Linked DNA regions of Stegostoma tigrinum. The protein of the gene in region 1 purifies or fractionates together with the protein of each later gene. This does not show direct contact. Links are inferred from orthologs where the notes say so. Each region holds a gene or a part of one and is shown in the gene's direction. Other genes may lie near its edges. The genes, in order: sirt1, ezh2, histone acetyltransferase KAT5 and jun.

Region 1 (7,493 bases):
CACTTCCTCGCCTATCACTTTACCCCCTCACTCACCACCTTAACCCTCCTGTCACTCAATCCCTCATCTTCCATAACACACCACCACCCCATCCCCTCATTCTCCTGTCACTTGTGTTTTACCCACCTGCCATCTGGGGGGGGGTGGAGGCAATTAGATCAGTTGGAGGGAGCATTGGTTTGTGCTGCAGAGCATTCATTTCCCACATCAGCTGAGGTTACCATGAAGATCCTACCTTCTCAACCTTGCACCTCACCTGACTCTCAGGTTAAACCTACCGCCGACTGTCTCTATCCAGTGAGTGAGTGTCCCTGTGGTGAATGTTAACTTAGGCATCTGCCGCAACGTCCCAAAACATCGGCAATCGCTGGAAAAGCTCAGCAGGTCCGGCAGCATCCGTGGAGAGAAATCAGAGTTAATTTTACTGGGCGAGTGGCGCTTCCTCAGAACCAAGCTCAGTTCTCACCTTGACCCCGAACGGTAACTCTGATTTCTCTCCACAGATGCTGCCGGACCTGCTGAGCTTTTCTAACAGTTTCTGTCTCTCATTTACAACTTTTTTCTGGTTTTGCCGAAACAACACACCAGCTGACCGTATCGCCCATTTATTTTAAAGACTTACCTTCACTCAACAGTTTCTCTTTGGGCATTTAATGGAATGAGGCAACTCATACCATCAAAAAGGAGCCCTAGTTTCCACAAGAGGCTCTCTGATGAAGGGTCTAGGCCCGAAACGTCAGCTTTTGTGCTCCTGAGATGCTGCTTGGCCTGCTGTGTTCATCCAGCCTCACATTTTATTATCTTGGAATCTCCAGCATCTGCAGTTCCCATTATCTCCGAGTGCCTTGTATTGCTTGGGTGAGGAGTGGGGTTGCCGAATGGGCAAGAAACAATTTACCCAAGAACATAGCAGAGACTTAGGAATTGGGAGGGGCAGAAGTGAGTGAGCTGAGGCCAGAGAGGTTAGGACACAGTGTCACATCACTACCTAGCCCTTGGAGGGTTTGAGACTCAGCAAAATATCGATGGTAATGACAAACAAATAGGCCTTATAGTTTATTTCAGGTTTACAGCATCTGTGGCATTCTCACTGGATCACCACCATAGTGCCAACTACTGCCTTCAGTAGGGTATACGTATCAGAGATAATGGGGACTGCAGATGCTGGAGAATCCGAGATAACAAAGTGTGGAGCTGGATGAACACAGCAGGCCAAGCAGCATCTTGTGCTCCTAACATGCTGCTTGGCCTGCAGTGTTCATCCAGCTCCACACTTTGTTATCTCGGGTATACGTATCTGTTGAGTGCTTATGTTAGCTCCTACAACTTAACAAGGCAACAGTGTAATGAATGAGGTAACTGACACTACTGAAGCTCCTGGTACATACATACATTACAGTTGCAGGTACTTCAGTGTTTAGGCTAAGATGAAGCTACTCAATTACAAATGGTAGCATCTTCAAGTGGCCCTGGTTAACATGGAATATGAGACCTTTATACCCTTAGGTCGCCTGGCATGATGTGGCGATGATTTCATGAGCACATCTCTTCGAAATATATTACATACAAGCTGTGAGACATAACAACAGACCATAGAAATTCAGTGCGGGACAGAACAACAAATGCTTCAAAGAAGGTTACACAGAACTGATGATGCCATCTACAAGGGAGACGAAATATTTGCATTAAAGCCAGTCAGCTCGGCGAACCAACCAACAACTCCAATGTAACAAATTATCTAACGTGGGGTGGCACGGTGGCTCAGTGGTTAGCACGGCTATCTCACAGCACCAGGGACCCTGGTTCAATTCCAGCCTCAGTTAACTGTCCGTGTGCAGTTTGCACGTTCTCCCCGTGTCTGTCTGTGTGGGTTTCCTCCGGGTACTCCGGTTTCCTCCCACAGTCCAAAGATGTGGGTTGGCCATGCTAAATTGCCCATAGTGTTCCGGCATATGTAGATTAGGTGTTATGGGGGATGGGATGCTCTGAGGGCTGGTGTGGACTTTTTGGGCCGAAGGGCCTGTTTCCACCCTGTAGGGATTCTAGGACCGAAGTTCTGACAGTGCATTCATGCCCACGCATCACACTAAGTCAGATTTCTTACAAGTTAGGTTAGAAGTCATTGCACAGGAATGAAATGTCACAAATGAACTATGTGCCCATTAGAGTTCCCATATATCACTAACCAGTTTGGCAAGAATTGGAGGATTTGCTATTTTATTATCATCATCAACAGTCTGCATTTATACATTGTTTTTAATATAATATTGATTACAGTAAAAATAGATGATCAATATCAAATCCCATCATCTAAGAGTCATTCCTGAGACCCTTTCCAGAGCAAAACACTGGTTTTAAAAAAGGACAGATATTGGCTGCTGTGATCACTTGTCCAGTTTGAGCCAAATTCATGAGCACATCAATAGACAAAGATTAGTGAGCTGAAAGTAACATTGTTCTAAATGCCACTGAACATCCTGACTGCTTCACAATTTCCTGGAAGTTACACATTGGAATCCACAAAAGAATTCTATTTCAGGAAATTGCTTTTGAGCAGAGAGAGTGAAAAATATGAAATAGCATACTATAACCAGGAAGTCTCTCTCCTTTTTCTGAAGAGGGATCCCGGCCGGAAACATCAGCTTTCCTGCTCCTCTGACGCTGCCTAGCCACCTGTGTTCATCCAGCTCCACGTTATCTATCTCAACCTCAAGATCATTGCCCAATGATAAACAACTTGTAAACTCATTGACTAAAATCCCAAATCTACAGATTTACCTTTACTGCAAAATAGAAGTCAACAATTTAATGTTTTATCAAAGATCTGTAGCTCGGACTGCATTTGGAGTTGTTGATTGGCGTGTCGAGCTGATTGATTTTCATGCAGAGACAGTAGGAACTGCAGATTCTGGAGAGTCTGAGATAAAAAGATGTACAGCTGGATGAACACAGCATGCCAAGCAGCATCAGAGGAGCAGGAAGGCTGACGTTTTGGGCCTAGACGCTTCGTCTTTTTCTGATCAGGGTAATAGAGCAGAATGCAGAAGGATAGGAAGATGAAGGAGGCAAGGATCAGTGCCAAACCAATACACTATCCAATACATGTTGTTCCTGTAGTCAATTCTGCAGGTTGTGAGGGATTGCTGGTTGGTATCACTGAGGGGTGGTCCACACAGTTGTGACAGTAACATATCCTTAATTGATGAATTGGTGAGACCTGATGAGTCAATCAGGATCACTGCAGAGCTAACCAACCAGGGTAGTGACAAGCAGGTAGGCAATAGAATCTTACAAAAGAAACATTCACCCAACACCCACTCTTTCTTTCCCTGTTAACCACCCCGACCAAACAACCTCACAGTCCCCCAGTGAAAAACAACAGAATTTGAATACAGTGGACCTGCATTTTGAAGTACACAAGATGGTTTGGAGCAGTATGCTTCATTCATAAATTATGCTTGTTTATCCTTATCATCTCCCCCGTGAACAACCGCTTGCACACACCCCTCTCCCCATCCCCACACCCACTCTACCCCTGTAACCCACACCCACCACCCCCAGCCCCATCCCCAACCCCCTTACGCAGACCTTCCACCCAACCCCCCTTATCCACACCTTCCAACCCCTTTACCCACACCTTCCATCCTCTTCCGACCCTTACCCACACCTTCCACCCGCATCCCCTTACCCACACCTTCCACCCGCATCCCCTTACCCACACCTTCCATTCTCCCTTACCCCCACCTTCCACCCCTCCCCCATTACCCCCACCTTCCAAACCCCCTTACCCCCACCTTCCACCCCTCCCCCATTACCCCCACCTTCCACCCCTCCCCCATTACCCCCACCTTCCAAACCCCCTTACCCCCACCTTCCACCCCTCCCCCATTACCCCCACCTTCCACCCCTCCCCCATTATCCCCACCTTCCACCCCTCCCCCATTACCCCCACCTTCCACCCCTCCCCCATTACCCCCACCTTCCACCCCTCCCCCATTACCCCACCTTCCACCCCTCCCCCATTACCCCCACCTTCCACCCCTCCCCCATTACCCCCACCTTCCACCCCTCCCCCATTACCCCCACCTTCCACCCCTCCCCCATTACCCCCACCTTCCACCCCTCCCCCATTACCCCCACCTTCCACCCCTCCCCCATTACCCCCACCTTCCAAACCCCCTTACCCACACCTTCCCCCCCTTACCCACACCTTCCCCGTTACCCCTTTACCCACACCTTCCACCTCCCCTTACGCAAACGTTCCCCTAAACCCCCCCCTTACCCACACCCTCCTCACCCATACTCCCCCCCACCCCCACCCCCACCCCCTCCCCCTCCCCCTCTTTGCGTACTCTTTCCCCACTCCCCTTACCCACACCTTCGATCCGCTCCCCTCCCTCAACCCCATTTTCCTCACCTCACCCTCATCCACCCAGCCCCCGGGCTCCTTTTGCGCAGGCGCGGCTGTCGGTGCCCCCTGACCCCAGGCCCACGTGACGGCTGGGGCGGTGCTGGGGAAGATGGCGGACGGCGATCAGCTCCGGAAGAGAGCCCGGCTCGACGGCCCGGCACCAGGCCCCGCTGGCACCGGGGACCGCCGGCGGAGGGCGCCTGGCGCCGAGCAGCAGGACTCCGCCACCGACAGCCGGCACGATCTGCCGCCGAGTGACAGCCCGGAGAATGGGGCGGCGCCGGGGGAAGGTACCGGGGCCTGGGGCAAGGGCAGGTGGGGGTGTGGTGTAAGTGTAGGGAGTACCGTGGAGGGTGATTGAAGCCTGTGTGCATGGGTCATGTCGAAAGGGAAGGTTGGTGTGGGAGAGGTGGTATGTGATGGTGGGCTGGGAGAGTCTGGCACAGGGGGAGTGAGGCAGGGGGTGTGTGTACTCTGGGGAGGAGAGCAGTGGGTAACAAAGGCAGACAGCTATCAAATGCAGCTGAGGTAAGGGGTGAGGTGGCAAAGGGTGGTAAGTGGGTACTGAATGACATTTGGCTGATTACAGGAAATAGGGCAGGAGGTGGCACCCTGGTATTACCATTAGACCCTGGCGTTGTACTGAGTTCAATTCCCACCGTGGCAGATGAAGAGCTTTGAACTCACCAGAGTCTAATTGCCACGAAACCATTGACCGAAAAATCTGTTTGATTTGCTGATGTTCTCTAGGGAAGGTAACTTCTGCTCTTATCTGGCCTGGCCTACATTACCCCAGTTCTACTGCAATATTTTTGAGAAGACTTGTAGCTCAGGTTGTGGATGAGGTTGTTGGCTTGCTCTCCAAATCGGTGTGTTTGATTGCAGACACTTCGGCACCCTGTAGGTAACATTGTCAGTGCGCCCCGGTGAGCACTGACAACATCATCTAGCAGGATGACGAAACATTTGCAATCAAACACACTGGTTCGGCAAGCAAATCTACAGCCTACAGCAATATGGTTGACTTTTCCCTGCTATCTACGACTGACTTGTGAAAATGACTAGAACGTCTTATGGAAGAAGTAAAATCAGACTACTACCTCATTTTGACCTAGGTACCAGAAACAGCACCAGCAAACACAGCTCTGCTGACCCTGCGAAACCCTCCTTAGATACACTGGGGGCCAGTGCTAAAACTGGGAGAGCTGTCTCACACTCACAGAATCATGTCTTGTAGATGATGTCCCACTGTCAGGCAGACGCAGCAAAGCTGGTCACACAGCAGTACATATTTGGGGTGGTGTTGTGGGAGTGGGGGATGTGTTTGGGGAAGGGTGATGGGGCCAGGGAAATTACCCTGGGTGTCCTCAACATTGACTCCTCATTGGAGTCTCAAGGCACTAGGCCAAATGTGGACAAAAAATTTCCTGCTGATTACCACATGCCATCCTCCCTTGGCTGATGAATCAGTACTTCTCCATGTTAAACAATACTTGGAGGAAGGAATGAGGGTGACAAAATGTACCCTGGGTGTGGGATTTCAGTATCCACCACCAAGAATTTCTTGATAGCTGCACTACTCATTGAGCTGTTCGGATCCTAAAAGACATTGCTGCTAGACTGGATTTGCAGCAGGTGTGAGGGAATAAAACAAGAGAACATAGCTGACGTTACCCTCACCAATCTCATCCCCTCAAATCTGCTATACCGCAGATGCATCTGTCCATGACAGTATTGGTAAGCGTGACCACCATACAGTCCTTGTTGAGACAAGGCCTGGTCTTCTTGTTGAGAATACCCTCCATCGTGTTTGTGTGTCACTAAATGAGATTGACTAGATCTCACAACTGAAGACTGTGCATCAGTGAGACAACATGGATCATCAACAGCAAGAGAATTCTGTTCGAACACAATGTGCAACCTCATGGCCTGGCATATTTTCCCCACTCTGGCTTTGACATCAAGCCAGAGGATCAACCCTGATTCAAGTGCAGGAGGCCATGCCAGGAACAGCAGCTATCATTCCCAAAAAATAGGTGTCAACTGGTGTAATGACGAAGCAGGGCTACATGTGTGTCAAACAGCATCAGCAGCACGTGATAGACAGAGCTAAGCAATTCCACAACCAACAGATCGGATCTAAGCTCTGCAGTTCTGCCACGTCCAGAACTGAATGGTGGTGGACAATTAAACAACTCACTGGCGGAGTTCCATCCTCAACAATGGGGATGGCTACCACACCTGTGTGAAACATAAGGCTGAAGCATTTGCAAAAACCTTCAACCAGCATTGCCAAATGGATAATCCCTCTTGGCCTTCTCCAGTTGTCCTCAACATCATATGTCAGTCTTCAGCCAATTCAATTCAGTCTGTGCAATATCAAGAAACAGTTGAAGACATAGGATCCTGTGAAGGTTCTGGGTCCTCACAACATGCCGATAATAGAACTTTGAAGTTTGCATCACATATGGGGTGATTAAGAAGGTGTTAGCATGCTTGCCTTCATTGCGCAGACTTTTGAGAATGGGAGCTGGGACATTACTTTGAGGCTGTACTGGACATTAATAAGCCCTCTTCTGGAGTACTGTGTCCATTTTTGATCTCCCTGTTAAAGGAAGGATATTATTAAACTGGAGAGGGTTCAGAAGAGATTTACCAGGATGTTGTGGGAACATAGGGCTTGTGTTATAAGTAGAGGTTGCATAAGGTGGGACTTCTTTGCTAGAGGAGGTTATTATCATTATTTTATAAATCTCTATGGGAACTATAGTTAAGGTGAATGGCAGGTGTCCTTTCCCTAGGGTGGGGATTTCAAGTCGGGGGGAGCATATTTTTAAGGTGAGAGGAGAAAGATTTTAAGGAGACACAAGGGTTTTTGTTTACACACTGTGGTTTGTGTGTAGAATGAACTTTCAGAGGAAGTGGTTAATGCGGGTACGGTTACTACATTTAAAAGACACTTTGGGTAAGTACATGAGTAAGAAATGTTTGGAGGGATATGGGCCAACCTCAGGCAAGTGGGACTAGATTAAGGTCAGCATGCACTGGTTGGACTGAAGGGTCTGTCTCCATGCTGTTTGAC
Region 2 (7,132 bases), on another chromosome or scaffold:
AAGGAATGATTAAGTGACTGTTATTCTTAGAAGACTCAATTATAAATGGTCCCTAAGCTACTAAAACTCAACCGCTAATTTTTTGCTTGTTTTCCATTTCTTTTTGACACAAAGCGGCAATTCAGAAAACTGTTCAACACAGGCACTGGCCTCTAATCTGCTGTAAGTGTTCTGTCATATCTAAGCCACAATGTAGGCCAAAGTTATTGCCAATTGTGTCCTCATTTGGCATTTTTACATGCACAGAATTGCCCTTTGCATTCATTTGGAAGTTTGTTAGCTACAATTGCAACTTTTTTAGTATAGCACCATTTATGTACTTAAATATCTTGATGTGCTTCACAAAACTACATGGAGAAACGAGATTCAAGGGAGTTCTCTTTATATCCTTATACTTCAGTTTTAAGCTTGTACTGAATACAAGAATCCACATTGTTTGCTGGGTAAACAATAACGAACAATAAAATAATATTGTCCTCGAGCGCGAGAGAGAGAGAGAATGAATGGGAGTAAATAATAAGAAAATAAGCAAATTGTTTGCAAAAATAAACTGTAATTTAAACTTAGATTAATGGTAACCAAGAAACCACTGTTTACTATCCTAAAAATCCATCTGGTTAACTAACATTCTCAGGGAAGGATATCTGCCATCGTTACCTGATCTGGTCAACTTGTGACTAAGGACCTGCAAGCAACATGGTTGACTCTTAAATGCCCTCTAAAATGGCCTCGCAAGCCACTCAGTTGTACCAAGCCACAATGAAGTCTCAAGAAAGAAATGAAACTGAACAGACCACCTGGTATTGATCTCGGCACTGGAAACAAAGCAAACTCAGCCCTGTGAAGTAATCCTTACAAATATTTGGGGGCTTGTGCCAAAATTGAGAGATCACATTATCTGCAGGTATGATTCTGCAAGCGTGATTATTTCTCAGACATTGCCATAATCAGCTCAGAATATTCTGCCCTGTTGACATGACGGAACCACCCAGAGGTGGTGGCAGAATGGTACAGTCAGGAGGGAAATGTTTCGGCAGTCTTCAAAATTGACTCTGAACCCCACAAAGTTTAATGCTATCAGGCCAAACATTGGCAAGAAAACATCCTGCTGATTACCTCACACTAATTCCCCTTCCCTCAACTGATGAATCAGTTCTCTTTCATGTTGCACACCAATTGGGAGAACATGGCAAGGGGAAAGAATGCATTCTGGGTTAGGTATTTCAACATAAATCACCAAAGTGGCACAACAGCACACTAATGACCAAACTAAGATTCTTAGGGGTCTTGACAAAGAAGTTGTATACCCTTGTCTAGGACCAGAGGGGATAATCTCAGAGTAAGGGGTTTCCCAGTTAGGATAGAGAAGGTTTTTTCCCCCTCTCAGAAGACAGTAAATCTGTGCAAACCTTTACAACAGAAGGCTGAGAAAGTTGTGTTGTTAAGTATATTCAAGGCTGAGGATTATCAAATCAATCTTAATTGCATGGTGGAACAGACTCAATCAGCCAAATAACCTGCTTCTATCTCAGATAGCCTCATATCCCACCCTCAGTGTTGGAAGAGAAGACCAGTACATTCAGGACTAAAAACAAGGCTGAAGCATTTGCATCAATCTTCATTCAGAAATGCTGAATGGATGATCCACCTCAGCCTTCTCCTAAGATTTCTAGCATCACAAATACCATGCTTTATCGACTTCAATTCACTCCACATATTAAGAAACGGCTAAAAGTGCTGGACCATGATAACATTTTGGCAACAGTACTGAAGTTGTGTCCTCCAGAATTAGCTATGCCCCGAGCCAAACTGTTCCCATTTAGCTATAAAACTAGCATCAAACCAGCAATATGTAATAATTGCCTAGGCACGTCCTGTACGGTATATGCAAAAAGCAGGGCAAGTCCAATGACTGCCTCATCAGCAAGGTGACCAAAGGAGTTGCTGACAGTGTCATCAAGTACCAATTACTCAGCAAAAATTTTCTCATTGCATTCAATTCCACTCAGATCTGGAACTCATCATATCCTTGGTCTAAACATCGACAAGGTAACTGAAGGTGAGGTTAAAGTGATGATCCTTGATATCAAGGCAGCATTTGAGTATCCTTTGTTATGGATAGTGTCAAGCTTTTTGAGTTTTTGAGCTGTAGACATGAGGTAAATGGAGAGCATTCTATCACACTTCTGATTTGTGTCTTACAGAGGATGAACGGCTTTTATGGAATCAGGAATTGTGTTATTTGCTGAAGAATTCTTAGCCTCTGACCTGCCCTTGTCCAGCAACATCAATTCTGTGAAGGAACCCTAGCATAAATGGAATCAATGGGAATCATATGGAAAACATTCTATGTTTGGAGGCTTACCTAACACAAGGGAATTGTTCAGGACCATTTGTGACTCCTCAGATACTGACGAATCCATATCCCCAAGCAGCAAGACCTGGACAATGTTGATGCTTCAGGTGATAAGTAAGCCTGACAAATCGCAGCAACATTCACGTAATGCAAGTGCCAATCAATGGCCACGGGAGAATTTAATCATTTCCATTTGACTTTCAAATACATTACCATGTTGAAACCCCACTACCAGCACAAGCTTCCCATTGAACAAAACTGAACTATTAGCCACAGAATTGATGTGGCTGGACAAGGGCAGGTCAGAGGCTAAGAATTCTTCAGCAAATAACACAATTCCTGATTCCATAAAACCCGTTCATCCTCTGTAAGACACAAATCAGAAGTGTGATAGAATGCTCTCCGTTTACCTAATGTCTACAGCTCAAAAACTCAAAAAGCTTGACACTATCCATAACAAAGGATACTTCACTGGTATATCATCCACTACTTTCAACATTCATTCCCTTCACCTCTGACAGATCATGGCAACATTGTACACCAATTACAAGATGCATTCAGCAACTCACCAAGGTTCTTTTGACTGCGCCTTCCAAACCTGCACCCTCTACCATCTAAAAGGGAATGTGCAACACATGCTTAGGAGCATCACTATCTGTAAGTTTCGCTTCAACCCACAAACCATCCTGATTAAACTATTTTGCCATTTCTTTATTTGAAACCCTGCAACTTCCTTACAGCCAAATGACTTCTGTGGCAACCTCCCCTACTGTGGGTGCACTCCATGGATTGCAAGGAGGCAGCCCATTACCACCTCTCAAGGGTAATTAGAGATGTAGAATAAATGAATGACCAGAAAAGCACCTAACTAAACCCAGTGAAATATTGAAGCACATTCAACAAAGGCACAGAAATAGATGTTCGCATAAACATTTTTGAATAACTTGTTTAATATGGTTGCACTTCGGACAAAATATTCGTTCGTTTTAAGCTGCATCTAAGTTTTTTTTGTTCCTGAAGGTAGTAACCCTGGCAGGGATCTGCTTCTACACGTGCCAAGATCCCTCTCACAGATAACCATAATTCACTTGAATGTAGTGTCAAACTATTACTGTGGACAGAACCCCGAGCAAGTTTGATCCTTTCATTGTCTGGACTACATACAGCCTTTCCAGTAGAAGACAGACCGGAAAGTCTCAATTCACGGGGGTGTCTAGGCTGATGCGGAAAAACAAAATGAAAATGGTTTCAAGAGAAAGCGAAAATGTTCGCATCGTTACGCCCAGCTCCATCTGAAACATAAGAGTGAATCCGGAACGTGAAGTTAGTAACCTTTCACTAGTAGAACTTGCTCAAAACTGAAAATGCAACAGCAGCAACTCTCGGTGCCAAGCAGCCAATGGTGACAGGAATCTTCATTTTCAGGCTGGGGAACAAGGAACTATAAATAGAAACCCGCACATTACAATTGGAGGATACACCCGCATAGCTTGAGTCATCCCTTGACATCGCATCTCGATGTAGCTCCGTCCTGACAGATCCAAGTTCCACGAGCGCGACTTACTCAACGTTTACCAGAACGACGGGCACATAAAAAAAACCACCCCTGAAAGCCCCACAAAGAAGCACCACATGGTCACATCCCACACTCCCATGCGAGGTTAATGCAGATTGGAGGAAAGTGGGCCTCCTGCGCCCAATGCAAGAAGGGTTTGTTAGCAGGCTTCAGCAAAGTTTGATTGGATTGGACACGTTGTTTTCGCGCCCTATCTGTGTAGCCGGGCGGAGAACGAAGACAAAAGGAGAGAAAGAAAAGAAGAGTGAGAGCTCGGAGACGGAGTGCGAGCGGGACAGACAGAGGCAGTCAGCCACCCAGCCGAGGACGTGAGAGTAACGGCTGCCGGCCGGCCCGATCACCGTCCTGACACCCGCGTAACCCGGCTGTAAACTCACCCAGTAAAACTCTCGCAAAGTTTCGGCTCCAAGTTAGCCCGGCTGACAGCGGCAGAGAAGGAGGAGGTCAGCAGGGATCAGCTTCTGCTTCTCCATCCAGGTAAGGAAGAGGCGGCAAGAATAGAAGTCTCCGTCAGTCCGGTTGGCTGCGGAAGCCCTGGGCTGGCGGAAATTTGAATTCCAACGGCCAGAGCTGGCGGCCAAGCGTTTGGAATCCGCGCGCTCGCCACGTTAGGTTCCAGCCTTCCCCCACCGACCCCCTCCCCGAGGGGCAGCGGGTGTAGCGCCGGATTCCCCGGAACATGTTTCCTTTAATTCCCAATCATAAATAAAGGGACAGATTGAAGGCCTGATCCGATCAGACTGTGTAAATCATTCTTTAATCTTGTCATTCACTCGGGGAGCGATTCAGTGTTTTCAGTCGGCTCCAATTTTATCAGCTGCCGAGTTTGAACAGACCAATGGGGGATAAACTTTATCTATTGGAAGTTGATTTCTGCCCCCCCCTCCCCTTCTTCCCTACTAATTCTCCGCCCTTCAGTTACTCCGGGGGATGCCCTTCCTCCGCTTGGCAGTGGAATTAGGGCATGGTGATTAACTCGTTTAGCGGCGTGATGAGAAAACCTAGAGTCATCAAGTGGGATGTAACAAGTAGGAGGTTAAAAAAAACGCATGTCTTATAGCGAAAGAGCAGAGGAGTGGGACTAATTGGTAGTTCTTTCAGAGAAGTCATACACATGATGAACTGAATTGCCTCCCGTGATGTATCATTCCCCTATTATGACGAAAGAGATCTAAAATCAAAATCTGGGATTGAGAAACCAGTCGATATGATGTCAGTGTTATGGGGAGCTGCACGAATCTACACTTAAAATGGTATAACGTCAAGAAACAGAACAGTGAGGTCAGCCTGGAGGTAATCAAATGTGGAGCTGGCTGAACACAGCAGGCCAGGCAGCATCAGAGGAGCAGGGAAGCTGACGTTTAGGGTCTGGACCCGTCTTTTTTTTTTCTGAAGGGTCCAGACCAGAAACGTCAGCTTCCCTGCTCTGAAGCTGCCTAGCCTGCTGTGTTCATTCAGCTTCACATCTAAGACTCCAACATCACAGTTCCTACTATCTCTGAGGTCAGCCTGAGTGCTTACCTCAGTGAAGTTCTAACAGTGCACAGGGTGTGTGTGGGAACCTAGGACTTCTGAACAGGGTTAGCCCTTTGAACCTGTTTGCCATTCACTAAAATCAATACCGATCTGGCTTCAGAGTCATTGATGCCACCACCATCTCTGTTCCATGACAAGGGAGTCAATTTTCTTCTAGGATGTACTTGGCTGGCCTGTTTGCCCTTGAGAAGATGATGGTCAGCAGCCTTTACACCATAGTGTAAACCCTCTCCCTGAGTTGAGTCATCCTTCTCTGAACTGCTTTGAATGCAATTATATCACTCAATTAAAGGGAACAGAAGGCTCCACAGTGGTTCAGATGATGATTCAGTAAGGCCCTGCAGTAAAAGCTGCAGTAAAACTGCCTTTCACATTCAGTTCCCATTACCAATGCAACCTATGAGCTGAGTGCCTGCATGTTTGTTCTGAGGATCTGTCTGTGCCAATCTGTGTGCCATGCATTCATTTTCAGTTTTTTCAGCTATGGCCACATGTGGCCCTTGAAAATCCATGCTGTAGCTGAAAAAATTAAAGGTACATAACTGGTTGCAATAAATGTCAACATTCTGTTGCAAATTATAAAGATGCAGTACACGTTAGGCCTTCAAGAGGGTGAACACAGACCCAATGAAATTTGGGACATGAGGTCAGGACGTAAGTAACTGGTTGGAAAAGAGGGGTAGAGATCAGAACAAGTATTTTGCATCTATCACCACTAGGACTAACATCATAATTTATATTGATGATTTGGCTTTAAGATTAAGGGATTCTAGATCAATTTGCAAATGACACCAAGGGAGCACACCTGACACTGAGCACAAATGCAAGCTGCAGACTAGGAAGTTAAATGACAAGTGAATTTTAATATTGAAATGAGTTGAGTAAGTATAACCTGTGGGGCGGAAAAAGAAAAACATTACCTATGTTTTTAGAAAATTAGAAGTTAGTGGAACATATTAATCCAGGAATGGAAATAGACAAATAATTAAAAGCAACATTGAAGACAGTCAAAATTATTAGAAATGATAAAGCAGTGCCATTTATTTGTAGCAGTATTTAAATTAAGTCATGAAGTGGTATTAAACAAATCTATGTATTGAGTACGGAGTACATCTAGAGCAAGGCATAAAGTACTGGGACAAGTATGGAAATGATTTTCAATGCTGCAAGATTAGGTGATTACAGCTCTTGTGATCGATTAAACAGAGAACTTTTTTCAGGAAAAATGACTTGGAAATCTGAGATGTTTTGAAATTCATGAGTGGTTTGGACAGGATATGTGTGGAGAAGATGTTTCCATTTGAAGTTTGCAAAACAAATATGACATAAAACACTGTTCACTCTTTTGGGTGATGTAAAATATACAGGTCAGTTTATCTTTCAGTGAACAAAACAGAAACGGCTTATGTGGTAATTGTTGCAGATGATTCCAAAATTTCACAAGTGAGTGAAGATTTTTCTCTTCATTTCAGTCTGAAATGATCAGTGTACACTCCTGGTATAAGCTCAGTCTTGTGGGTACTGCATTCCTGATCACCATAACAAAGTTCCAAGGAGCCTCTTGAAACTAATACTCATTGGGTAGGTTATTTTCAAGAAAATATTCAACACAAACATTCTGTCCCTCACACTCGTAGAGCTGTACAGCACTGGAGCAGACTTTT
Region 3 (7,701 bases), on another chromosome or scaffold:
AATGATTATAGACCCTTCGCTGTGCACTGGCGTGATTCAGTCCAACCCTGGCCAGAAAAATCATATGTTTTCTCCTCGATGTCAGGAATCTTGCCTCTCTGCTCTTGTTATATTTTTCCCGAAGGGACAGCCCTGTTGTTCAAGAGAGGGGCCAATTCAGACGCCCACATCACCAGCTGTAATTCCTCGTCCACATTTTCCTCCAGCTTCCCTCCTCTTCCTCTCGGCCATTCCTCTCCCCGCCCCCTACCCCTGCCCCTGATGAGGTTATTTGTAATGGGATGGGCCGAAGCACCAAACTTGTGGGTGATATTCGACAAGCTGCACCGTCCTGTGAACATTCCTGTACGTGCTGATGCTGACACAATCTAGGGGTTTTTCTGGCATTGTGTTTCTGTGCTTTGCCGTTTGTACACTGCACAAGAGAGAGAGTTTCATGCTGAGTCGCTGGACTTCACCCTGGACCAGGATCGCAAAATGGGCACAGGAACAATCTTGGCCTCCAGGCTAGCTGTCAATCGAGGGGACCCTGATGAGCAGAAGGGCGTGAGGCTTACTGGGTTTTTTTCCCTCTCTTTTTCATTTACTTACTTTCACTTTTTTATTTACTTAATAAACGCACCTTTCTTTTCTTCTCACTCAGTAAATGTTTACATTTAAGAGAATTGCCATTGTCGAGCCTTCTCTTCAATACCTTTAACCGAATCAGACAAAAAACTGCACCTGAATGCACTCTGTGATCTAAGACATTATTCAACATCTCCCCTCATTCCCCTTGACCCCCCATCCTGTGGGAGTGACTCCCATATTCTACCCACTATCTGGGGGCCACATGATGGTTCTCCCGAATTCTCCGCTGAGTTTATTCGGGACTGACTGACATTGATGGGCCCTGGTTCTCTGCTCTCTCCTCTGCTGCCCCAGCGACCCCACCCCCCCCCACCCCAACTCCCACCCCTCCAACCCCCAAACAATAGGAAAACCTCTTTTCACAATCAGACTGTATCAAAACCTCCTTCTTCATTTTGAAGACTCGGTCAGAGACCTCACCTGCCTCCGCATTCTCTTTTCCAGAGAGCTGGGCTATTACATAAGGCTTTAGGAAGGGCTTTGACAAGGTCCCTCATGGCAGGCTAGTCATGGAGATTAGGTCGCATGGGATCCAGCGAGAGCTACCAAACTGGATTCAAATTTGGTTCGATGGTAGGAAGCAAAGGGCAACGGTTGAAGGTTGTTTCTCGAATTTGGGGCCTGTGACTAGTGGTGTGCCACAGGGGTTGGTGCTGGGACCACTGTTATTTACGTATATCATCTGGATGTGAATGTACAAGGCATGGTTAGTGAGCTTGTGGATGATACAAAATTAGGCGGTATCGCCGATAGTGAGGAAGGTTACCAAAAATTAGACAGGGATCTTGATCAGGTGGAGAAGTGGGCCGAGGATTGGCACATGCAGTTCAATACAGGTAAGTGTGAGGTGTTGCATTTTGGAAAGTCAAACCAAGTTAGGACTTGTACAGTAAACAATAAGGTTATGAGGAGCATTGTAGAACAGAGGGATCCAGGAGTACGAGTACATAGTTGATTGAAAGCGGCGTCACAGATAGACAGGGTGATGAAGAAGGCATTTTGCATGCCGGCTTTGGTCTGTCAAGGCACTGAGTATCGGAGTTTGGATGTTATGTTACAGTTGTGTAAGTTGTTGGTGAGGCCACACTTGCTCTATTATTGTGTATAGGTTTGGTCACCCTGTTATAGGAAAGATATCGTTAAACTGGAAGGTGTGCAAAGAAGATTTGTGAGGATGTTGCCAGGACTAGTAGGCCTGAGTTATAGGGAGAGGTTGGCCAGGATAGGACTTCAATCCTTGGAACATAAGAGAATGAGGGGTAACCTTATTAGGGAGTGTAAAATCACAAGGGGCATAGATAAGATGAATGCATATAGCCTTTTTCCCAGGGATGGGGAATTGATAACTAGAAGGCACAGGTTTAAGAAGGATCTGAGGGGCAACTTCTTCACACAGAGGGTGGTGTGTAAATGGAATGGGCTGCCAGGGAAAGTGGGTGAGGCAGGAACAACAGCAACATTTTAAAACCCTTTGGATAGGTACATGGATGGGAAGGGGACATGGACCAAATGCAGGCAATTGGAACTAGCTCAGCAGGCACCACGGTCAGTATGGACCAGTTTGGGCCTGTTTCCATGCTGTATTACTCTATGACTCTATGACATAAGAAATTGGTGCAAGAGCGAGCCATCTGGCCCATTGAGCCCGCTCCACCATTCAATAAGATCATGGCTGATCTCCCACTTACCCACTGTCTCACCATAACTCTCCTGTTAATTCTGTTATCCTGTTATTCCCTATCCTGTTCAAAAATCACTACCTTAAAAACATTCAACAGGATAGCCTCAACTGCATTGCTGGGTGGGGAGTTCCACAGATTCACAAACCTTTGGGTGAAGAGGATAATAATAGTCAGACATTACTGAAGAAAGGAAAAGCACTGTAGGATCAGCTCATCCAGGTTGGTGATTTCAGAGTGGGGATACAGAACTGTTTTTATTCTCAATCCGTTCAATACTTGTGTGAGTGAAGGGGAATTTTAAAAGGGCTGATAATAGTCAGCATGGTGATAATGGTAAGGGTGATAATTCAGGAAGTTGTTCAGAATGAAACTAATGTTAATAACAAAGGTGATAATTAAGATTATTAACAAAGATAATGTTAATAACAATGGTATTAATTGAGGAGGTTATGAACATCATAGTAGTGTTAATAATGATGAGGGTGATCATTTCTTTCTATTTTTCATGGGATGAGGATGTCACTGGCTGGGCCAGCATTTATTACCCAGAGGCCGGTTATGAATCAACAACATCGCTGTGGGTCTGGAGTCACATGTAGGCCAGGCCAGGTAAGGGTGGCAGTTTCCTTCCCTAAAGGGCATGAGTGAACCAGATGGGGTTTTCCCAACAATCAACAATGGATTCATGGTCATCATTAGACTCTTAATTCCAGATTTTTATCGAATCCTAATTCCAATATTTGCCGTGGCAGGATACAAACCTGGTCCCCAAATAGTTACATACATCTCTGGGTTAAACAGTCCAGCATTAGTCAGCTCCCCTCAAATAGAGGGGATTCTTAATAATGATACTAATAATGTTATTAATAATGACAAGGGTGTTAATTGAAGTTATTAGTGATAATAATGGTGAGGGTGTTAATTGAGGTTATTAGTGATCATAATGGTGAGGGTATTAATTGAGGTTATTAGTGATCATAATGGTGAGGATGTTAATTGAGATTATCAATGATAATAATGGTGAGGGTGATAATTGAGCTTATCAGTGATAATAATTGTGAGGGTGTTAATTGAGGTTATTAGTGATAATAACACTGAGGGTGTTAATTGAGGTTATTAGTGATAATAATTGTGAGGGCATTAATTGAGGTTATTAGTGATAATAATAGTAAGGGTGTTAATTGAGGTTATTAGTGATAATAATTGTGAGGGTGTTAATTGAGATTATCAATGATAATAACAGTGAGGGTGTTAATTGAGGTTATCAGTGATAATAATTGTGAGGGTGTTAATTAAGCTTATCAATGATAATAACAGTGAGGGTGTTAATTGAGATTATCAATGGTGAGGGTGTTAATTGAGGTTATTAGTGATAATAAGTGAGGGTGTTAATTGAGGTTATTAATGATAATAATAGAGGGTGGTAATTGGTGGTTATTGATGATAATGGTGTGGGTGATAATTGGGAAGAATTTAATAATAATAACCGTCAGGTTGACAATTGTGATGGTTATTAATTTCTAATAACGGTCAGGGTGATAATTGAGGTGGTCGTTAATGATAATAACAGTGAGAGTCATAATTGATGTGGTTATTAATGATAATAACAGTGAGAGTGTGAATAGAAAAGGTTATTAATGATAATAATGGTGAGTATGATAATTGAGAAGGTTATTATTGATAATAACAGTAAGAGTGATAATTGAGGTGATTTTTAAAATTATACTAATGTTGAGATTGATAATTCAGGTAGTTATTAATGATAATAACGGTGAGGGTGATAATTCAGAAGCCTGCTAATGAGAATAATGATAATAATGTCAATAATAATGGTGATAATTTACGAATTTATTAATAAAGTTGAGAATAATGGTGAGGATAAGTGAGGCAGTTATTAAAGATAATAGGGAGGGTGATAATTGAGGTAGTTATTAATTATTATAATGTTGATGGTAGAAGTCAAGAATGTTATTAATGATAGTAATATTAATGATAGTAATGGTGAGGGTCATTGAGGTGGTCTTAATAATGGTGATAATTGAGCAGTTTTTATAAAGAAAGTTAATAATAATAGTGAGGATGATAATTGAGGAAGTTATTAAGAATGACAATAAGGTTAATAATTTCGAAGTTGACAATTGAGTTTTTGGTGTTTTGGTGCTGGAAACAGGCACTAAGATAGCCACCTATACACCCTATCTGGTGAAATGGGTGCTAAATGTTGGTGAGTTTAAATGATCAGATTAACCCCCCTACCCCTCTGGCGGGTGAGAGCATCTTCTCCTGGGGGCTGGGATCTCTGGGCACACTCTTTATTGAATTATTTCGCCGTGTTTTTGCGGGGGGATGGCAGGCGGTGCGGCGGCCTCCTCGGCGACGTGAAGGACCCCGAGGGGACAAGATGGCGGCTGCGGCGGAGCGGAGTCGGTGAAAAAACACTTTTATCGAAAGAAATAAACAAACTCCACCGCCGTCCCGTGGCTAAGAGACATCGGGGAGCGGGAAAGACCGAGCGTGATCAACGTCCGCACCGGCATTTTCCACCCGAGTCTCACCCTCTGTCTCAGTCACACTCACCGCCCGGACTAACAATGGAGGTGATCGAAGGATGCCGCCTTCCCGTCCTCCGGAGGAACCAGGAGAATGAGGACGAGTGGCGTGAGTAGCCGACATGGCGGACGGGCGGGCGCGGTGTACCATCCCTCGGACGGGGCTGTTTGCATTTCGTCCTCCATGCCGTGTGGGGGCGCTCCCACTGGAGGACCCTGTGTGCAGTACCTCCTCCAGGCCACGTGGGGCGCGCTCCCACTGAAGGACCCTGTGTGCAGTACCTCCTCCAGGCCACGTGGGGCGCTTCCACTGGAGGACCCTGTGTGCAGTACCTCCTCCAGGCCACGTGGGGCGCGCTCCCACTGATGGACGCTGTGTGCAGTACCTCCTCCAGGTCACGTGGGTAGCGCTCCCACTGAAGGACCCTGTGTGCAATACCTCCTCCAGGCCACGTGGGTAGCGCTCCCACTGAAGGACCCTGTGTGCAATACCTCCTCCAGGCCACGTGGGGCGCGCTCCCACTGGAGGACCTTGTGTGCAGTACCTCCTCCAGGTCACGTGGGTAGCGCTCCCACTGGAGAACCCTGTGTGCAGTACCTCTTCCAGGCCATGAGGGGCGTGCACTCCGGTGGAAGTCTGTGAGTGGAGTACCTCCTCCAGGTTATGGGGGTGCTCCCAATGGAAATCCCTGAGAGCTGTATCTCCTCAGCATCATGGGGCAGATGGGGTGTATGCTCCCTCTGGAAATCCCTAAGTGTGTACTACCTGCTCCACACGATAGGGACAGGGGTGGTGGTTGCACTCTCATTGGAAATCTCTGAGTGCAGTACCTCCTCCACACCATAGGGAGCACTCCCACTGCAACTCCAAAGGAGTAATATCACCACCTGGCCATGGCGGGTGGTTCCCACTGGAAATCCCTGAATGCAGTACCTCCTTAAAGTTTTGGAGGGTGCCCCCGCTGCAGATCTCGAGAAGCAATCTCTCCGTTTAGCCACGGTGGTGGTTCCCATTGGAACTCCCCACATGCACTGCCTCATCCTGGCCACAGGGCAAGGGATGCAGTGCCACTGAATCGCCCTGAGTCTAGTACCTGCATCAGGCCGTGGAGGAGGGGTGTGATACCACTGGATCCTGTGGCATTAGTACCTCCTACAGGCCAAAGGGGTGGTCCCATTGGACCTCTGAGTGCAGTCCCTCTTCTGGCTGTATTGGGTGGGGTTAGGGGTGAGGGGAAGTCGGTTGCTCCCCTTGTGGAGTGCAGTCCCACAGCAATTCATATAAGGAGCAATACCTCCTCGTGGCCATGGGGGGGTTGCTCCCATTGTAACTCTCTGAGTGTGGTACCTCCTCCAGGATGTGGTATGGGGCGGGGGGGGTGGAAATTGCCATTTGGATCTTGCAAAGTGCAGCTCCTTCTGCAGGACTCAGAGCACAGGCTGTTATTGGAAACTCTGAGTGTGATATCTGCTCCAGGACACGGTGGAGTTTGGTGGGCACCCATTGGATCTTGTGAAGTGCAGTGCCTTCTCCAGGCCATGAGTGACGCTCCCAGTGGATCTTCTTTCTGGTCATAAGGAGTGGTCCCACTGAATCTCCCTGGGCACAGTAAATCCTCCTGGTCTTGAGGAGTGCCCTCAATGGAACAGATATAGTGCAGTAACCCGTCCCATCCACAAGGGCACACCCAGTGGAACTACGGTGGTAAGGTACCTCCTCCTCTCCAGAGAGTGTGATCCCGCTGGATCCACCAGAGTACAGTATCTCCTCCTGGCAGGACACACAGTCCCACATCTCCCAGAGTGTGATACCTCTTGCCACTTGCGGGGGCTCTCCAACTGGTTCTGCTGGATAGTTCCTCATCCCAACACTAGATGCACTAAGATAATAAAATGTGAGGCTGGATGAACACAGCAGGCCAAGCAGCATCTCAGGAGCACAAAAGCTGACGTTTCGGGCCTAGACCCTTCATCAGAGAGGGGGATGGGGGGAGGGAACTGGAATAAATAGGGAGAGAGGGGGAGGCGGACCGAAGATGGAGAATAAAGAAGATAGGTGGAGAGGGTGTAGGTGGGGAGGTAGGGAGGCGACAGGTCAGTCCAGGGAAGACCACCTCCTTGACCTGTCCGTCTTCCCTGGACTGACCTATCCTCTCCCTACCTCCCCACCTACACCCTCTCCACCTATCTTCTTTACTCTCCATCTTCGGTCCGCCTCCCCCTCTCTCCCTATTTATTCCAGTTCCCTCCCCCCATCCCCCTCTCTGATGAAGGGTCTAGGCCCGAAACGTCAGTTTTTGTGCTCCTGAGATGCTGCTTGGCCTGCTGTGTTCATCCAGCCTCACATTTTATTATCTTGGAATCTCCAGCATCTGCAGTTCCCATTATCTCTGATACTAGATGCACTAATCCCAGTTTCCTGCCCTCGTCCCAGATCCTTGAATGTATCTATATTTATAGTGCACATCCAAATGTTTTTAAAGGTTGTAATGTTTCCGGTCTCTAATACCTCCCAGGAAGTGCATTCGAGATTCCCAGCACCCCCTGAGTGAAAAGGTTTTCCTCAAATCCCCTCAGAATCTCCTGCCTCTTACCGTAAAACTATGACATCTCGAGATAGACCCTGCAACGAAAGGTAGCAGCTGCTCTCTACTCGCCCTGTTCATACATAGTTGTGTACATCTCATTCTTGTCACCCCCTCAGTCTTCTCTGCTCTAGAGAAAACAATCCAAACCTACCCAGTCTCTCCTCACCGCTCAGTTTCTCCACCCCAGGCTATATGCTGGTGAACCTCCTCTACCCCCTCTAGTGCTATCACGTCCTTCCTGTAGTGAGGTGA
Region 4 (6,965 bases), on another chromosome or scaffold:
AGTCCTTAGACAGAAATATTGCCATGGGAATATAGTATTTAAGTGGCAGGCAACCAGAATTTTGGGGTAATTTTTACAGAAATAGCAGAGGTATTCTGCAACAGGGTCACACATTTTGTGTTTTCAATGTAGGGGCAATCACATTGTGAGCAATAGATAGAGTAAACTAAATCGAATGAAGTGCAAGCAAACTGTAGAAAAGGGATGTCTGCTTGGTGGCAGCATCCTACTAGAGGTGGCAAAGCGCTGACTTATGAATCTACCGAAGTACTTTTGGAGTTTAGTGATAATGGGAACTGCAGATGCTGGAGAATCCAAGATAACAAAGTGTGGATCTGGATGAACACAGCAGGCCAAACAGCAACTCAGGAGCACAAAAGCTGACATTTCGGGCCGAGACCCTTCACCAGATGAAAGGTCTCGGCCCGAAACGTCAGCTTTTGTGCTCCTGAGATGCTGCTTGGCCTGCTGTGTTCATCCAGCTCCACACTTTGTTATCTTTACTTTTGGAGTTTAGCTGCTTTAATAATGTTAGAAATGTTAGGAAAGACAACTTGAGCACAATAAACTCCCACAAACAGCAATGTGAATAATAACAATGCTTTTTGCTGTTAGAGAGATAAATATTGGCCAGGATGCCAGAAGTGCTTCACTGCTATTGTTTGAACTAGTGACCTGGGAGCTTTGACCGAATGGCCTAATCCTACTTCTTGTTATTACTTGTCACAGAATAAAGGGTCATTCATTTAAAACCAAGATACAGAAGAATTTATTCTCAGAGGGTAGAAAATATTGGAAGTCTTTACTCCAGGCAATTATGAAAACTAGGTCACTAAAAAGAGAGGTACAAATATGTTTTAAAATATCAGGGCATTGAGGGATATACGGAGCTCACACCAGGTCTTATTAGACGGCTGGCAGGCTTGAGGGGGCAAATGGCTTACTCCTTTTCCTATAAACTTATGTTCTTTACAATATTCCAGCAGACATTTGAACCTCATGCAAATATCTCACCTAAAGGATGGCATCTCCAACAATGCAGCACTCCTTCTGCATTGCACTAAAGTTTCAGCCTTGAATTTTGTACTCAACAGTATAAACAGCAAAGAGGGGAAAGAATTTCTGAAACGTATACAGGAGAATTATATTGCTCAGTATGTTTTCATACCCATAAGGATAGAAGCAGCACTGTATCTGGTTCTGCGGAATGGAATGGACTAATTCAAAATTATTTAATGATATAAAATATTAAAATGTAATTTGCCATAAATTGCATTGCATTAAGAATCCACAAAAAAAAGCTGCCAGTATGAAAGTAAAAGGCAACCTATCTCTATAATGCACAACTTACAACACTAGGTTCTTTATATGAAGTCTTAAAAGGGGTATCCCAAATGTTTTGAAGCATTTATTCCTGACAGTGCTGCCAAATCCCAGTAGAAAAAGGCAGCCTTGTCAAGGTGACTATGAAACTGGCACTAACACAGCTTGCAGAAAGTGTGCGCAGAAGAACATCTCCAACGTTAACAGCCTGCAACTCACATAGTACAAAGAGAGAAGGTAAGGAAGTCTAAGGGAGAAATACAAATTATACGAGAAATTGACACATATCTTTTCAAATTTAGAATTCCACATAAATAATTTATGGTTTCAAAATGCACACTCTGTAAATATAAACAGATGAGCTTTTTTTTAGAACTACTGCAACACATAGACATTTGTAATAAATTATATTCAATTTAGCTCAAAATAAATCCTCAAAATAAACTGTGTTTAATACTGCGGGCAGCTATTAATTCTTTCAATGTTCCATTCTGCTTAACGTGGGTTAATATAGGCTAATTTGACCTACATTTCTTGTTTAATGTGTTAAGGATATTCATCTGTACATAAAGCACTGAACTTTACATAGGCAACAAAATGAGGGTCTGTATTTTATGAGTTCCAGCCACTTACGTGGCCACATCTGGAGTTGCTGTTCCCTGGAAGCCCATCGCCAGGAATTGCAGCACCACCTGGATCAGTGGGCAATGCTGATGCTGCATTTGGAGCAGAAGAATGCATTAGTAGACCTCACAATCTAGTAAGTAGGGCTTCAGATCACCAGGGATAGTTAAGCAGGTCCTGGTGAGGGATACATTTAGGAGATCATTGATGTGGAGGAAGGGCTCACATGATTCATTTTGCATGTAATGCTACTGCGACCAAGGCAGTCATTGGCAGATAGTCCTTTCACGGGGCAAAGTGGACTTCCAAATAACATTCTCCCCCTACCGTCATTCACCTCAGAGCCCTAATGGTATCCACCAGGGCTCTGGGCAATCTCTCCACACAGGAGGGGCACTGGTAGGATGCCAGTACCCACAAGGAGGCCAATAATTGTCTAAAGTTGCTCAATCAGCTTCCAAGAATGTGGCATTTTCATCATCTTGCCCACCTTTTGTATGACTACATACTGCCAAAAGGAAATAGATGTGTCATTCCACAATCCAAAGTTTCCACTAAAAAGGATTTCTTAGCGATCTGAAAACAAATAAATAAATCAATAAAGGCAGCAGAATATCATTGAAAATGCAGACATCAATACCTTTCAAAATCATTAAGTGCTGCCCAATTTATTTTCAAAAACCCCGAAATCTGTTTGCAAATCAGTATGTAAATAGAGGCATCAACTGAAGGAGTGTCGAAAATGCATTAATCCAAATACATTTATACCCTGCAAATGTGGATTAATTACAAAAATCAGGAACGTCACTCATTGTGATTCATTCTTTGAGATATTATTCTAATCTACACCTGAAAAGAACTCATTTTGATATAAAACAAGCATCTAAAATTATTTTTGGAGAAAACAAATTAAAGATTGGATCATCTGCAAAGTTACAAAATGTATTAGATGTCATGTTTGAACTCTGATCTATACCAAGTCATTTTGATCTGTACCAGGATCAGTCCGGTACGCTGCAGCATGTCTGGACTTAAACTACCCGAGCCTTTCCTCCTGTTTGCTAACACGTGTGTAAATGTGTAAGCATTTAGTGAGGGCAGGTTTAGACATGCGCGCAATGCCTTACATAAAATTGTTTGCCAAATACAGTTTAGGAGTACCGACTAGTTAAAGAAGCTTTATTTTATAAATGCAAGTACCTATTAGATACACTAGCCTACAGATAGAAAACCCTAAAGTTAAACTGTTAAAATATATTTTCCAATCTTAACAGGTTATACTTTTATGCTGTACAGAATGATCCCTCAGCAAAATAAAGCTATTTATCTAATCACTGTGCTTATGATCACTGAATCCCGATCTTTTAGCACACCAGAGGAAAGACAGCTTTTAATTTTCTGAAGAACCCAGTACAGAGCAGATAGTCTGTTGTTGTATCCTCCCTGGATAAGAGAGCTCACGTTTCACTGGCTGGGTGGGTTATTTAGCGTTGTGGTTGCTGATTAAAAATGGGTACACAATGTCACCAAAAAAAAGTCGCCAAAAGCTCTAAGAATATAGTTGGAAGGGGCTTCCTCTCGCCAATGAAAATTTTCGCCTAAATAGAAACAGTTGCTTCAGGGTAGACTACGAAAATGACCACCTAGCTGCATAAACATGGGGAGGCTCAACTAAACGGGAGGAATCTTCCTACATATTAATAATCATCGCGCTTTCCCGAAAAATAAATCGATGTACAGTTTAAAACAATCGCAGTCACTTCACGGTGAGAAGCACAACGCTTTTGCCAGGCAATAGTGAAGGACAGTGGTGGCCTACAGTTGAAAAGCTAGTCGTTCACTTAGCACTTGGTAAAGGGCATTGAGTGCGCCGGCTGGTGGGGAGGTGGTACTCCTAAACCACCATCAAAACCCACTCGGATCCATTTCACGGGAGCAGACGGTCAACCTTAGGTCAACCCAACTTTGACCGAGGACCCGCCTCCACGTCACTGCCATTGGTGGGAGCGCAACAGGCCGTCGCGCCTCCATTAGGTGCCCAGGCGGCCTGTCAACGTGAACGTCACAATGGTACGGACGGCGCCTTGACGGTTTGCGTTCGAAAGTTGGCCCGCCTCCAGGACCTTCTCATTGGGCACAGCGCCACCAGCAAGCAGCTTCCCATTGGTCAGGCCCACATCCATCTAGACCCGCCTTCAGCGCGGTGAAAAAGACACACAAACACCCACTCTTTGTAAAATCATCGCGGTACATAACTACCAACAGGGCGGAGGTGGGGTGAGAAAGCAAGTTAGAGGACAAAAATAAAATGAGCCCAAGTGATAGTGGGTGAAACAAAATATTCTGGGAAAGCCACCAAATCAATCCCAGCACTCTTCCCGCCACTCCACCGACTTCCACCAAAGCGGGTAACTGGATCTTCAAAATAAAGACGTCATCCCATGATGCTCCACGCTGCATTACCTCAGCCCGTCATGCCCCACGATAGTTAGAATCTTCTGGGGCGTTGCTATGGAAACCGAGCGGACATGCAAAGTCTAAAACGCCCATACGTAATAGCCAACCAATGGGAAGGAGCCGAGATGACCTCATTGCTATTTCGGGTCTATTACCAGTTGCAGATAAGCTTGGGACTCACGCTGCAAGTGCTCAGAGCTGAGTGTGAAACAAGCTGGAGGAACTTGGTAGTTTGAACACTTTTCTTTTGATTTGGTAGCATTCTTACTGAAAACTGGTACAGCAGGAGAAATTAGTGGGAAAAGAAATCAACTGATTTCCCAAATTACGTTTCTATTATTGAAATTGTGAGCTTAACAGGTAACCGAGTAGACTTATTCGAACTCTTCAAGAACTCTGTTACATCTATTTTAAAACACTTTTGTATCAAAGAGTTTTCTTCCATCGGTATTCTATGTCTACGAAGATGGAACAGCCATTCTACCACGACGATGCACTGAACGCAGCTTTTGCACAGCCTGAAAATAGTGGTTATGGATACAGTGCGAAAATGTTGAAACAAAATATGACTTTGAACCTGTCTGATCCAGCGAGCAACTTGAAGCCCCATCTGAGGAACAAGAACAGTGAAGGTATATTAACGTCTCCGGACGTGGGACTTCTCAAACTCGCATCACCTGAACTTGAACGTCTTATAATTCAGTCCAGCAATGGACTGATCACCACCACCCCAACACCGACCCAGTTCCTATGCCCCAGAAATGTCACGGACGAACAGGAGGGTTTTGCTGAAGGCTTTGTCAAAGCTCTTGAAGAACTTCATAAACAGAATATCCTGCCCAACGTGACATGTTCAACTCCGTCTGCAAATACGGCGATCGCGGTTTCTGCCTCTCTGCCCAGTGCAAGTACTGTTTACAATTCAAATTTGCACCAAGAGCCTCCGGTCTACGCTAATCTCAACAATTTTAACCCTAACTCGATCACCGCGCAGCCTAACTACAACGGCAATAATATGAACTATGCAGCACCCCAGCATCATCCGATGAACCACCAAATGCCTGTGCAGCATCCCAGACTTCAGGCATTGAAGGAAGAACCTCAGACGGTGCCCGAGATGCCCGGGGAGACCCCGCCGTTGTCTCCTATTGACATGGAATCTCAGGAACGAATCAAGGCCGAGAGGAAGCGAATGAGAAACCGCATCGCCGCCTCAAAGTGCCGTAAAAGGAAACTGGAGAGAATTGCCAGGCTGGAAGACAAAGTGAAAACCTTAAAGGCGCAGAACTCTGAACTAGCGTCCACAGCAAACCTGCTGCGAGAACAGGTTGCCCAGCTGAAGCAGAAAGTTATGAATCACGTAAACAGCGGCTGCCAACTCATGCTAACGCAGCAGCTGCAAACGTTTTGATTCAAGAACTGTAGTGGAGAACTATTGGTGAACAAATGCAAAGAAGAGGACTGAATTAAATAGATCAAGACAGAAGAAAAGTCCTGATTGCGCCCTGAGCGCGCATGTACGGAGGAAAACGTGGAGGACTGTGCTTGATGTAAAAAAAAGTCTGACTGAAATGCTGTTTGCGGCAAAAAAAACTAAATTTCGAGTCATTGTTTTACTATGACCAAGTCTTGCATGGACCGAAGCAGTTCAAGATCATCCAGTATTACAGAATTAAAAACTGCGATAGAGTAGATCGCTTCTGATGTAGTATAATGTGGGGGAGGGCGTGGGAGGGAATAAAGGGAGGTTAAAGCTTTTGAGGTCGTTTTGCCTTGAAAAATGTACAGACTATGTTTTGTTTCATGAAAGATGATTTCTGTCAACAAAACATAACCGCTTCAAGCGATAGCCTTTGTAAGTTATTTTTATGTTGCTTATTGGGGCAAAACCCAATTTATTCTTGTAAATAAGAGATTTGGAGGACTCTAAGTTTACCATTTGTAATAAAATATATAATTTTTTATGTTCCGTTTCTGAGAACTTCTGGAAAAAGTTCAATTATATTTAAGAATGTATAAATAAAGTATTTGAAAAGATACGTATATTTTGTATTCTATTTTCTTGGCATATAATGTTCAGTGATATTGCAGCAATTCTTAACTGAGGAGTGAAAGTATATCTAGCATCAAGGATGTACAGAACTGTCCTTTGTGGTCAAGTTTCTTTCTAACAAACTTGAAACAGGCGAAATTCGCGTGTTCACTCTAACTTGCTAGGCGGAATATTCAGAATGAAAACATTTTCTTATAGAGTTCACAACATTATTCGAAAATAATATTGGGCGTTTCAGTTTCACCTTTTGTTTTTCAAAGGGTCTAAATGTACACTATGACTTGGTGCTAAAGTCTTATTGCCGATGTCTTTGCTCAAGAGCAGCAAACTATTTTTAATTTATAATGTCCTATTAATGTTATTTATAAAGTTTTAAATTCTTCATAATACGTCACATAAGAAATCCAAAATAACCCTACATACATTATTATGTATGGACTGAATAAAATCTTCATGTTAAATATTTGGAACAAATTAAAGTCTAGCATATGGATTTAAGGAGGCAAAT

The links.
Region 2: the proteins of sirt1 (region 1) and ezh2 purify together in Homo sapiens (affinity purification with western blotting; 3 studies listed by BioGRID and IntAct, with this or other methods). This does not show direct contact. The link is inferred for Stegostoma tigrinum from reciprocal best matches to the Homo sapiens genes SIRT1 and EZH2.
Region 3: the proteins of sirt1 (region 1) and histone acetyltransferase KAT5 purify together in Homo sapiens (affinity purification with western blotting; 3 studies listed by BioGRID). This does not show direct contact. The link is inferred for Stegostoma tigrinum from reciprocal best matches to the Homo sapiens genes SIRT1 and KAT5.
Region 4: the proteins of sirt1 (region 1) and jun purify together in Homo sapiens (affinity purification with mass spectrometry; 4 studies listed by BioGRID and IntAct, with this or other methods). This does not show direct contact. The link is inferred for Stegostoma tigrinum from reciprocal best matches to the Homo sapiens genes SIRT1 and JUN.

Annotation. Positions count from the first base shown.
Region 1 is NC_081373.1:55,234,611-55,242,103, forward strand, and holds the start of sirt1 (NAD-dependent protein deacetylase sirtuin-1), read left to right. Parts: upstream 1-4,481; 5' UTR 4,482-4,520; coding exon 4,521-4,701; intron 4,702-7,493. UniProt on the Homo sapiens protein: NAD-dependent protein deacetylase that links transcriptional regulation directly to intracellular energetics and participates in the coordination of several separated cellular functions such as cell cycle, response to DNA damage, metabolism, apoptosis and autophagy.
Region 2 is NC_081355.1:98,007,053-98,014,184, forward strand, and holds the start of ezh2 (histone-lysine N-methyltransferase EZH2), read left to right. Parts: upstream 1-4,125; 5' UTR 4,126-4,409; intron 4,410-7,132. UniProt on the Homo sapiens protein: Polycomb group (PcG) protein. Catalytic subunit of the PRC2/EED-EZH2 complex, which methylates 'Lys-9' (H3K9me) and 'Lys-27' (H3K27me) of histone H3, leading to transcriptional repression of the affected target gene.
Region 3 is NC_081395.1:3,922,716-3,930,416, forward strand, and holds the start of histone acetyltransferase KAT5, read left to right. Parts: upstream 1-4,687; 5' UTR 4,688-4,903; coding exon 4,904-4,970; intron 4,971-7,701. UniProt on the Homo sapiens protein: Catalytic subunit of the NuA4 histone acetyltransferase complex, a multiprotein complex involved in transcriptional activation of select genes principally by acetylation of nucleosomal histones H2A and H4.
Region 4 is NC_081361.1:56,270,393-56,277,357, reverse strand, and holds jun (transcription factor AP-1), read left to right. Parts: upstream 1-4,579; 5' UTR 4,580-4,858; coding exon 4,859-5,815; 3' UTR 5,816-6,443; downstream 6,444-6,965. UniProt on the Homo sapiens protein: Transcription factor that recognizes and binds to the AP-1 consensus motif 5'-TGA[GC]TCA-3'.